3 linked regions of the Cricetulus griseus genome follow. The protein of the gene in region 2 purifies or fractionates together with the protein of the main gene of each other region. This does not show direct contact. Links are inferred from orthologs where the notes say so. Each region holds a gene or a part of one and is shown on either strand. Other genes may lie near its edges. The genes, in order: Snx7, Snx4 and Snx30.

The links.
Region 1: the proteins of Snx4 (region 2) and Snx7 purify together in Homo sapiens (affinity purification with mass spectrometry; 3 studies listed by BioGRID and IntAct, counting the BioPlex papers as one, with this or other methods). This does not show direct contact. The link is inferred for Cricetulus griseus from reciprocal best matches to the Homo sapiens genes SNX4 and SNX7.
Region 3: the proteins of Snx4 (region 2) and Snx30 purify together in Homo sapiens (co-immunoprecipitation; 4 studies listed by BioGRID and IntAct, counting the BioPlex papers as one, with this or other methods). This does not show direct contact. The link is inferred for Cricetulus griseus from reciprocal best matches to the Homo sapiens genes SNX4 and SNX30.

Annotation. Positions count from the first base shown.
Region 1 is NW_023276806.1:40,435,285-40,439,513, forward strand, and holds the start of Snx7 (sorting nexin-7), read left to right. Parts: upstream 1-1,409; 5' UTR 1,410-1,452; coding exon 1,453-1,614; intron 1,615-4,229. UniProt on the Homo sapiens protein: Involved in the regulation of endocytosis and in several stages of intracellular trafficking. Together with SNX4, involved in autophagosome assembly by regulating trafficking and recycling of phospholipid scramblase ATG9A.
Region 2 is NC_048597.1:56,292,480-56,296,126, reverse strand, and holds part of Snx4 (sorting nexin-4), read left to right. Parts: intron 1-1,162; coding exon 1,163-1,298; intron 1,299-3,308; coding exon 3,309-3,458; intron 3,459-3,647. UniProt on the Homo sapiens protein: Involved in the regulation of endocytosis and in several stages of intracellular trafficking. Plays a role in recycling endocytosed transferrin receptor and prevent its degradation.
Region 3 is NC_048595.1:83,864,018-83,867,664, reverse strand, and holds part of Snx30 (sorting nexin-30), read left to right. Parts: intron 1-1,809; coding exon 1,810-2,005; intron 2,006-3,248; coding exon 3,249-3,448; intron 3,449-3,647. UniProt on the Homo sapiens protein: Involved in the regulation of endocytosis and in several stages of intracellular trafficking. Together with SNX4, involved in autophagosome assembly.

The sequences.
Region 1 (4,229 bases), on a different chromosome or scaffold from region 2:
ATTAAAATATTTAAATTGGGAATTCCTTTTATCTATGTTTCCCCTCCCAGTTTTTCTTGTTGCATTTTTCAACCTGTTTTTCCCTGTGTTAAAATCAGCTGGCCTCCTGCTGAACACAGATGTCAACAGGAGGCTTCAGCACTCTATGGGCCCCCTAGTAGTGGATCAGTATTTTTCCCTGGTGTAAGAAGGGACTTTGAGAGCCCGTCCCACATGACGGGATGCCCTCTCTCCCGGAAACATGGGGGAGGGCTCGGGTCAGGCCCAGGATGATGTGGTGGACTTTGGGATGCCCCCATGGAGGGCCCTACCCTCCCTGGGGAGCGAAGGGGGCATGGGATGGGGAGTTGATGGGGGGTTGGGGTGAGGGAAGGGAGAGGGAGACGGGATTGACTTGTGAAGCAAGCTTGTTCCTAATTTGAACTAGTAAAAATTAAATATAAATAAAAAAAATCAGCTGGCCTCAAACCAGAGGTCTTTCCTCTTGCCTCAGCCTACCCTGTGCTAAAATCCCAGGCATTACACGACCAGACCTGGCTCTTACATGAATCTTCATTTACTTGAAAATTTTAGAGAAAGGAGAAAAAAGCTGAGGTTGAGATGAATAAATAATAAAAATTGAAGCTAGTTCTAACATATATCAGTTTGCATTCAATTTTTAATTAATTTTTGGATCTATAAAAATAAGCAATGAAAAGCAATGAACAAACAGCTAGTTTCAGCTTTGCACTAGCAGTATGAAAAAAACATGCAGGATTTGTTTCTTTCTCTTTGCAATACCTAGGCCTGCTGGCTGTCCTTGGCGCTTGGAAACATTCTTGCACATTAACTTCAGGAAGACTTCTAGGAGAAAGCTACATTAGAAAGTAGCTGAAAATAATTTTTCAGTCTCAGCTTCCTTGGTTTGACAGTAAAATGACCACAAGTCCAATCACTGAGTCAAAAAAAAAAAAAAATCAATCAAAACCCAGGAGGTTGTAGTGTCTTTAATTTTGGCATTGATCTTTATAAAGACAGACTCGGATGGGGAAAAACAAACAAACAAACAAACAAACCAGGAATAAAAGCACTTTTAAACACTGGAAATAAAGCTGGGTCAGCTGGTCGTGCTTCCAGATCCTGCCACCTCACTCACAAATCTGGTGTCTCTTAACCGTGTCAGAGAGAGAATGCCACCTCCTGTCCTCAGAGTCTCCTCTGCCCACTCTGGCGAGGGTTCCTAGCTTCCAGATCTCAATCTTGGCAGAAACCTGGGGCCAGGTCGGGGATGAGCAATCCCCTCTGCCTGCCCGCCCTGGCTCTGAGCCGCGGTCTCCCGCAGTTCCGCGTCTGCGCACGGCCGAGGGGCAGGAGCTGGGCCGGCCGGGGAGGTGCAGGGCGCCGCGGGAGCCAATGGGCGCGCAGGGGGGAGCCGGGCTGGCTGCGGCGGCCGGCGGGGCTCGCACTGCCGGGATGGACGGCGAGCGCCTGGCGTCGGGTTCCTCGGAGCTGGCGGTCGGTGAGAGCCCGCGGGGCGGCGCCCCGATCCCGGGTGGCAGTGGTTCCTGCAGCCTCATGCAGGCCGACGTGCTGGATCTGGACGAGGACGAGGACGATTTGGAAGTGTTCAGTAAGGTGAGGGCAGGGAACATAGCCGCGGCCGTGGCAGGGGCGGCGCGTCCAGGGAAAGTTCCAGGGTGACTCAACTCCCCGACGGATCCGGAGCTGGAGACGGTGCACACATCCAGAACCAGCCGCTCCCTCCTCCGCACTTTGACCTTCTCAGAGGCAGAACCAAGGCTTATGGAGTCTTAAAAGTTCTGATATTTTTACCCCCTTACTCTTTCCATTTTCCCTTCCTTGATAGGGACATCCCATCATGCATGGGCGGGTGGCCTGAAACTGCTCCTCCTCCAGGCTTCTCTCCTGAAGTCTAGGAGAGTGATTGCTTTACTGCAGGGGAGTGATTTGGGTTTACTGTTGTTAAGTGTGAATGGGAGAGTTGGGTCCCACCCTAGGAGGATCTGGAATCCTGTGACCATTGGGTGCAGAAATCTTTTCAGCAGGAGAAAGCCTGGTCTGCACTCCTGGCAGAGCTGAAGAGGCGTGTTTTTTTGTTTTTTTGTTTGTTTGTTTGTTTTTGTTTTTTTCTTGTTGTTATTTTGGGGGGGGCAGTAAACTGAGGTCCAAACCCTAACTGTAGCCTACGTATTTCCTTCCCATTTGCTTGGATATCTAGCCTCAGAGGCGCTCCCTGGCTAGAGTTATAATTGGAGAGAAATGGACTTTTGGGCATTAGTGGTTGACTTGGGTGCCTGTGGCCTGAAACTTGAACTTTCTGAAAGTTTGAAACAGAAATACCTTTCTTGTGGCACAATCCAGTGTAACAGTAGTTTCTCAAAGGTGCCACTAATGGAAGCCTTGAACTCAGTGGGAACATTGTTTCAATGACCAAGGCAGTGTGCAATAATACCCAGAGATGTTAAAACGGCCCACCTCTTAACTGTCAAACAGAAGTTAGCAAATAACCAGCACACTTGGACTCGCAGCACGGAACTCACAAACTTCATTTGAACTCGTTAGAGCCTAGGCGGTTCACCCAGTTGCATTCTCGGTTGACTTTGTATCACAGTTCCGTGTGCTTAGCCTTCCTATTTATTTAAATTCTAAAATTCGAATTGTTTGATGCTTAGTTTCAATACTGCTTTAAAAACGTGTGTGTGTGTGTGTGTGTGTGTGTGTGTGTGTGTGTGTGTGTGTGTGTGTGTGTGTGTGTGATGTGCTTGCGCCCTGGTGTACAGGTGGCAGTCAAACCACTGCCTGCATTCTGCCCTCTCCTTATTCCATGTGGGCTCTGGGGGATTGAAAACAGGTCACGAGGCCCTGCAGCAAGTAACTCTCTGTACTGAGCCATCCAATGGCCCAATACTGCACTCCCACCCTCATTACACACATACTTTGTTCAGGTCAGTGTGGAACTTCCAGAATAGAGGGAGTGGTGTCAAGATTGGCGGTTGTATATCAAAATCATCTGGAATTGCTGAAAACTTTCCAGGTAGCCTTTTCCCCTAGATTCTGCCCCATAAGCCTCCCTTGAGAATCCCTGTCTCAGTGAGTCACTGTGGTCTGATACGGAGTTCATTTGCTTGGGTCTATGGGAATGTTGGGGATTGATGGAATTACAGGTGTTCTAGGTGAGAAGAAAATGACAGGTTGCAGCCAGAAGCCCTGTGAATGGGCATCCCTTCCCAATTTCCTAAAGCACTATCAGAGTAAGGGATTCCATTCATCTGCTGGGATTTCTTTTTAAATGTTATTACTGGGAGTCCTACCCTACTCACAATGTTGTCCTTGTGGCTCTGTATTCTTTTAAAAAGCATGGGTTAGCTGGAATTGTGTGTTTCATGCCTGTTCACCCACACCTATACTACTTGCTGCTATATCACTTCATGAATTTGCTGCCTAGAGAAAGTTAAGAATTATGCCCTTAGAAGTTGAAAAGTAAGTGGGTAATATGGTTAAAGTCTAAAGAAAGTACCATCCTGAAAAAACATTTAGTTCCATGCTCATTCCAACTTTCAACCATTAACCACAATTAGACAAGAAAAATCATGAAAGTCTCCTCTGGCCTCATTCTTTCCAACATTCCTCTTCAGCCTCTCTTTGGAGCTCTACTACTGTCCCGCCTACTCCAGAATGGGGTCTGTCCAGGACTTGTGAGGCCAACTTTCAGTGCCCTTTACTTTTATAAGATGGCTAACATTTCTCCTTAGATTGTGAATGTATAGCTGATGTCCCTTTCTGAATCAACAAAAGAATAACTTTGACTGACTAAAACATTTTCTTCCAGAAAAACATGTTTTTCCTCCTCTTAGGAAAAACATGCAATATCTCTTTCTTCCTATCATAGTCTTGAAGCTTAGATGGCAAGATAGGACAAACACTAAGTGGCAACATACACCAGCAGGAATGGAAAGAAAAACAAAGTGGGGACCATTGAGTTTTGAAAATTTTACCAAGGAATAATTGATGCCAACTTTGAAAAAAAAAACATTGAAAACACAGCAGGTATTGATTTTAAAAAGTAACTACAGGTGTTGGAAAAGAGATCAGAGAACACAACCAACAACACAATGAGACAAAGTAAGAAGAAAAATACACAAATGACAGCAATCCTGTAAAAATTGTCTTAGCACTTGGCCACAAGGAGATGAAAGAGTAATGTTAGCAAAAAGAAAAGAGGCCAATTC
Region 2 (3,647 bases):
TTAGAAGCACTTCTCTAATGACTGACTAATCAAGACTGATTTAGCTTCTCTGTTACTGCGTCCTGATGGTTGTGGTTGTGTGTGCGTTTCTTAGAGGGCAAAGAAGTTGTTGTCAAGCGAATAATTGGAAATAAGGAGGTCTTGATAATGTTTCACATTTTTCTGCCGTTGGGCATGGTGGCACACTCCTTTAATCTTTGAACTCAGGAGGCTGAAGCAGGTGGATCCCTGTAGTTCCAGGGCAGGCTGGTCTATACACCAAGTCCAGGCCAGTTAGAACTGCATAGTAAGAAAATCAGAAACCAAAAATCAAAACCTTTGTTCATGATAGCAGCAGGAATCTTGAGTCTTCACATGTTCTTTCCCTAGCTTCCTCCCAGCTGCAGTTTAGATAAAATGTGAGAGCCTGATAGCTCTGAAAAGGAAAAAATGAGACATGAGTTGTAAGCTGTCTTCCTTGCCCTTCAGAGATGACTGAGTTTGCTCTTGTGGATCTCCTGGTACTCAGATCCATCTGATTGACCCATACCCTCAACTCAGGCTTTCTGGTATCTTGGTCTTTGTCATGAAATTGTTCCCTCATTGTGGCACTATTAAAGTTACCTTTTATGTAATGAATATTGTAAAACCAGTTCAATGCTGAGGCTTTTAGAATGTTTCTTCTTCCTTCCTTCCTTCCTTCCTTCCTTCCTTCCTTCCTTCCTTCCTTCCTTCCTTCCTTCCTTCCTTCCTTCCTACATTTATTTATTTGTAGTGTTCTGTCTGCATGTATACCTGCAGGCCAGAAGAGGGCACCAGATCTCACTATAGATGGTTGTGAGCCACTGTGTGGTTGCTGGAAATTGAACTCAGAACTTCTGGAAGAGGAGCCAATGCTCTTAACCACTGAGCCATCTCTCCAGCTAGAATGTTTCTAATATAGTGACTTCTTATGAGTTCAGATGGGTTTTCTATAACAGAAGGAAAGTACCCAGGTGAGAGCTTTGGACTCCGATGGATCTGAGTGCACAACACACAGTGTGTATTTTGTAGGTAGAGCACAGCTATATCCCCATCTGTAAAAACGGGCACAGGGAATCTGCTTCCCAGGGTTATACGGTTTTGAAGGAGGTGGTTTTATGTGTTCTGTTTTGAATAGAAATGCTCTTTGATTCCTTTTCAGGTCAGTTGAACATGCTGACGGTCAGAGTGTCCTCACAGACTCACTTTGGAGGCGGTACAGTGAGTTCGAGTTGTTGAGAAACTACCTTTTAGTTTACTACCCCCATGTTGTTGTACCACCTCTTCCAGAAAAGCGGGTAAGATAGAGCAGTAGGAATTGAGAACTACCTGGAATTGAGCCCATTAATTTATTTGTTTTCCTTTTTCTTTTTGCTTTTCGAGACAGGTTTTCTCTGTGTAGTAGCCCTGACTATCCTGGAACTTGTTGTGTAGCCCAGGCTGGCCTCAAACTTAGAGAAACACCTGCCTCTGCCTCCCACATGTGTGTCTATATATGTATGTGTGTATATATATATATTTTTTTCTTTCTCCTAAATATATAGATGCAACTTGCTGGATCTGTATAATGTTACTTGTATGTATATGATTTCAGGGTTGACCACTTGGTAGCTCTTCCGTGGGAAGAACAATGTCTCCCACTTTCAGCATTCATTAGCTGCCCATAAGATGTCCCCCTTCTAGCCGAGCAGTGGTGGCGCTCTCCTTTAATCCCAGCACTCTGGAGGTAGAGGCAGGTGGATCTCTGTGGGTTTGAAGCCAGCATGATCTATACAGTGAGTTCCAGGACAGCAGCCAAGACTACAGAGAAACCCTGTCTCAAAAAAGAAAGAAAGAAAGAAAGAAAGAAAGAAAGAAAGAAAGAAAGGAAAAACAACAATTTAAAAAAATAAAAGAATAAATGTTTTTTGAAAACAACAAAAAGCTGTCCTCATTCCATGCTAGCATGTGTATTAGTGATGTCCTTGTGCAGGTCTCGTTTAGGCAGCCATATTTATAGGTGTAGTTTCCCTGTCATTTTCAGGAGGTGTAATCTCACAGCAGACTTCCTGGTCCTCTGGCTGTCACAGTCTTTCCACCGCTCCACAAGATATTCCCTGAGCCTTAGGTGCAAGAGATGTGTGTAGATTCATCAGTCAGGGCTGGGCACTACAGGATCACTTGCTCTCTGCTTTTTGATCAATTGTGGTTAACCTCTTGTAAAGAGAAGTTTCTTTTCTTTTCTTTTTTGTTGTTTTGTTTTGTTTTGTTTTCTGAGACAGGGTTTCTCTGTGGTTTTGGAGGCTGTGCTGGAACTCGCTCTAGGCTAGCCTCAAACTCACAGAGATCTCCCTGCCTCTGCCTCCCGAGTGCTGGGATTAAAGGCGTGAGCCACCAATGCCCCAGCAAGAAGTTTCTTTTATGAGTGTGTGCTGCATAGTTTAATATCAACTCGACATAAGCCAGAGTCATCTGAGAGGAGGGAGTCTCAGTTGGGAAAATTGAGTTCTACTCACACAAGCCTGTTGGACATTTTCTTAATTATCGATTGATACGGGATTGAGATGGAAGGACCCAACCCATTGTGGGTGGTGTTGTCCCTGGGCTGCTGGTCCTGGGTTTCTTTAAGAAAGCAGGTTGAGGCCAGGCTTTGGTGGCTCATGCCTTTAATCCCAGCACTTGGAAGGCAGAGGCCGGTGAATCTCTTGAGTTCAAGGTCAGCCTGGTCTACAGAGCAAGTGCCAGGATAGGCTCCAAAGCTACACAGAGAAATCCTGCCTCGAAAAACCAAAAACATCCAGGACAAGCTCCAAAGCTACACAGAGAAACCCTGTGTTAAAAACCAAAACCTAACAAACAAACAAAAAAAAGCAGGCTGAGCCAGGCAGCCATGGTGGTGCAAGCCTTTAATCCCAGCACTGGGGCGGGGGAGGGGGGGGGCGCACAGGGGGGGGAGGGGGACAGAGGCAGGCAAATCTCTGTGAGTTCAAGGCCAGCCTGGTCTACCAATCGAGTTCCAGGACAGCAATACAGAGAAACCCTGTCTCGAAAAAAAAAGAAAGCTTAGCAAGCTAGTAAGCAGCACCCCTCCATGGCCTCTGTATCAACTTTTGCCCCCAGGTTCCTGCCATGTTTGAGGTCCCTGTTCCGACTTCCTTTGATGGGGAGCAGTGATTTGGGGGTGTAAGCCAAACAGACCCTTCCATCCCAGTTACTGTGACCACCCATGGCGTTTTGTCACAGCGGTGGTAATCCAGGCTAAGACAGAGGGTAAGAGCTATACTTACCTGTGATTGAGCCTGTTCCTAATGGTTGCTTTGTTTACCCAGGCAGAGTTCGTGTGGCATAAACTCTCTGCTGACAACATGGATCCAGACTTTGTGGAGAGACGACGGATAGGCTTAGAAAACTTTCTCTTGAGGGTTGCCTCACATCCTGTCCTTTGTAGAGACAAAATCTTCTATTTGTTTTTAACACAGGTATTTTTCTTTTAATTCGTCTTTAAAAAAAATATTCATTTGAATTCGGCTTTTAAAAAATTATGAAATGCTGATTCTTGAGACTCATTTGAATTAGCTTTTGGTAGGCAGTTTATTGTGCTTGGCTAGTTTGAATTTGGGACTACTGGAATCTGTCATTAGCTGAGTTTTTTTTTTTTTTTTTTTTTT
Region 3 (3,647 bases), on a different chromosome or scaffold from region 2:
CCCACCCTCTCCCCTCCCCTCCCTCCCCTCCCCTCCCTTCCCCTCCCTCCTTGCCTCCCTCTCTCTGCCAGTGGATCAGGATGTAGATCTCAGCTACTTCTCTAGCACCTTGTATGTTCCCTGCTACGATAACAATGGACTGAACCTCAGAAATTGTAAGCAAGCTCCAAATAAATGCCTTCTTTTATAAGAGTTGCCTTGGTCATAGTGTCTCTTCACAGCAATGGAACAGTGACCATGATAGGACCTCACTTTGTAGCCCATGCTAGCTTCAATTCCCCAGTGCTAGAATGAATCATGGGCATGTGCCACCAGCCCAGCTCTAAGAGCTGTTTGTTTGGTTGGTTGGTTTGGAGAACAGGCTCTTACTGTATAGACTAAGCTGGCCTTGAACTCACAGAGATCCACCTGCCTCTGCCGCTTGAGTAATGGAACCAAAGGTATCCGCCACTATGCTGCACACTGTAACTTTTTAAATTTGGATACACGAGGTTTAAAGGCTCAACCCATTTTCCACTTTTGCCTTGACCCACAGGAAATTCAGAGTTTAAAATATGTTTACAGTGATAGTAGTTCACCTGAATTTTCTAGCAGTGATTCTGTTGTTTCTTTTCAAAACTCTACCCTCCACCCTCTGCTTTCCTTGTATGACTCTAGTTGAGGTTGAGTGAGTGAATGGAATGAATCTTTAGATATTTAATTTTGTGCTAAGACAGCACAGGGCATTTTTGCCAGAGGTTTTAAAATTGTGTTAGAAAAACTGTTGCATTTAAAGACAGGGAGTAGAATTGACTGGAGGGTGGAGGGCCCAGTCCTGTTGACAGGGAATCTGGACAGGGGCATATGGATGTGAGTCTGGGGGTCTGTTGTGGATGCTGTTCTTCAAGTAGAGCAGCCATCAACTTGTCACAGCAGCCTCAGGAGTGGGGCCTGGTGACTATTGAGGTTCCATCAAAGAAGGATAGGCTTGTGTGTGGTAGGGGTGTAAATGGAGTTGTTAATAGGTCTAAATAATAAAAACCCTGAGTCAGATGCAGAGGAAAATGCCGAGAGATCAGAGAGAAGAAGGAGCAAGCCAAAGCCACCTTTACCTCAGTAGCTTCCCAGTGGAAATGAGTGAGTTCCTGTTTCTTCCCGCTTATAGCCTCTCTCTGCGCAGCCATCTCACTTCCTCTCTCTGCCCAGCCATCTCACTTCCTGTCTGTCTGTTCAGACCTTCAGACCTCTATGGTTAGCTAAGCTCCATCCTCTGATCTTCAGACAGGCTTTATTTGTATAAGTAAGATACCACCACGGGGGTGTGGGGGAGACTTCATTGGACCCTCACTCGATCCCAGCCACTCCCTCTTTTCACTTAACAGCCAGCTGTATATGATTCTTCCTGATTGCACGTGGCCCATGGTCTTGGGAGATGCTAGTGTGTATAGACTCTAGAAGTTTAGTTGTGGGAGGGTATCCATATTTGCAGCCATGGGGATGTTGTCATCTATGCTGGGGTGAGATTTTCTTGTGGTGTGGCTCCTTGCTCCTGTAAGTAACCCCTAACCTGTACTCTGTAAGTAAACTCAGTAAAGTTATGGCGCCTCAATTTGGACTTTGGACTTGTACTTTGGTTTGCCTTATAAGGGTAGATAGAGGTTTGTTTGGTCTTCCTACAGAAAGAGTTCCCACCATAATGGGACTGTGATGTGTATGTGGTCCTAATAGCTCCTGCTTTCCAGTTTGTCCATTTCCAATGAGACACAGGCTTCAGAAACTGGTTTCCTTAGCCCTGGCTATGTGACCAGAATGGTGCCTTGTCATCTACAGGACCTGAATGCCTACAAGAAGCAGGGGATAGCACTGCTGACCAGAGTGGGTGAGTCGGTCAAGCATGTCACGGGAGGCTATAAGCTGAGGAGTCGGCCTCTGGAGTTTGCAGCCATTGGTGACTACTTAGACACTTTTGCACTCAAGCTGGGAACCATTGATCGGATAGCCCAGCGGATCATCAAAGAAGAAATAGGTGAGTTCTTTGTTGAGACTGACAGTGCCCAGCGTGGCAGCAATGGCGGTCATATATGCCAGACTGAAGCAACCTGCAGAAATGTCACAGTGACATCACCAGGCCTAGTTCTGCCTAAAAACCAAACACAGAGCGGGATGAGCTGGTTGTGACTAGAATGTAATTTTGCACTCAGTCCTTTGTCCGCACTGAGCATGGTGATTTCCTCATGGCCTCCATCCACAGGGCTGCTGATTACAGAAATAAACTTAGCAGAGAGATGGTTCAAAAGAGAAGTGTGGGGGCCGTGTTTGCCAAGGTTACATCCCAGTGAGCTTTTGCCCTTTACCCTGCCTGCTTCACTTTATTCCCTCTTCTGAGCTGGGGAGTTGCTCAGACCCAGGTCTGTCTGTCCTTATCACAGCCACTGCCTGTCTACCCTTCTCCTGCCATGGTCACCTGATTAGCCACATCCCAGTAACAGTGGGCACTTTGTCCCCTTACACAGGTATAGGTCAAACACACCCGAACAATGTGATTATCATGCCAAGGCATCTGTCACACAGGACTTTTAAAACATGTCAGTTACTGCCATTTCCTAATAGTTAAATAAGGGCAACCATATTCTGTCAAAAATGGCAAGAATCCTGGTGACAAATGAAGGGCCTTATTAACCCTGTAGGAGTGAAGAAATAATTATTTTCTTATTCCCTGCAACCACTGATAGGACCATTGGGTGTGGGACTGAGTCTGTCTATATAAGACCACATCTCTTTCAGTGAGGTGTTCCCTGTAATCCTGTCATTTTTCCATTGTGATTGATTTTTTTTTTTAAAGATCACCCTGCCGAGTACTAGAGACATGACTCAGGTTAAGACCAGAGGGACTGGATTCAGTGCCTAGCATCACACCATCTATAACTCACAACCATCTATAACTCCAGTTCCAGGGGTGCAAGGCCCTCTGAACCCATATGAAAGTCATATTCCCCCCCCATTGTGTTGTAAAAGGTTGCACTTGCAGCATGGGTAGGGGTGATTATTCACCCAAAGAAGTTCTCTGGGTTTGGCTCTTAGCTATTTTCCCCTAAAGGAGTTTTGATTCCTATTAACAAGAATCCTAGATATTCGGATGTGACTTACAGTAGCTTTTGGGGGGGGGGAGGGTATGCCCAGGAAAGAGAATAGCCAGGGCTGTAGATTCCTAAATCAATCATAGAGTGAGAGCTCCCCAGTCAGATTCCAAGTGGCTTCTCTTTTTATAGAGTACCTCGTAGAGCTGAGGGAATATGGGCCTGTGTATTCCACATGGAGCGCCTTGGAAGGCGAGCTAGCAGAGCCACTGGAAGGTGTGTCAGCCTGCATTGGGAACTGCTCCACAGCCTTGGAAGAACTGACAGATGATATAACAGAGGAGTTTCTACCAGTGCTCAGGGAATACATTCTGTACTCTGACTCCATGAAGGTAAGCTGGCTTGCTTTTTGCACACTCATCAAAAAGCTCTTAATTGTCGAATGTGGTACTTGTCCCTTCTCTGTAGTTGGGAAAACTGATACTACAGACATATAATCAGAACAAAGGGTGTGAAATAAGTGGAAGAAAAGATCAGAGGAAATTTACTATCAGTGTTCTCATACCAAGGAATGAGATGCTGTTGGGGAAG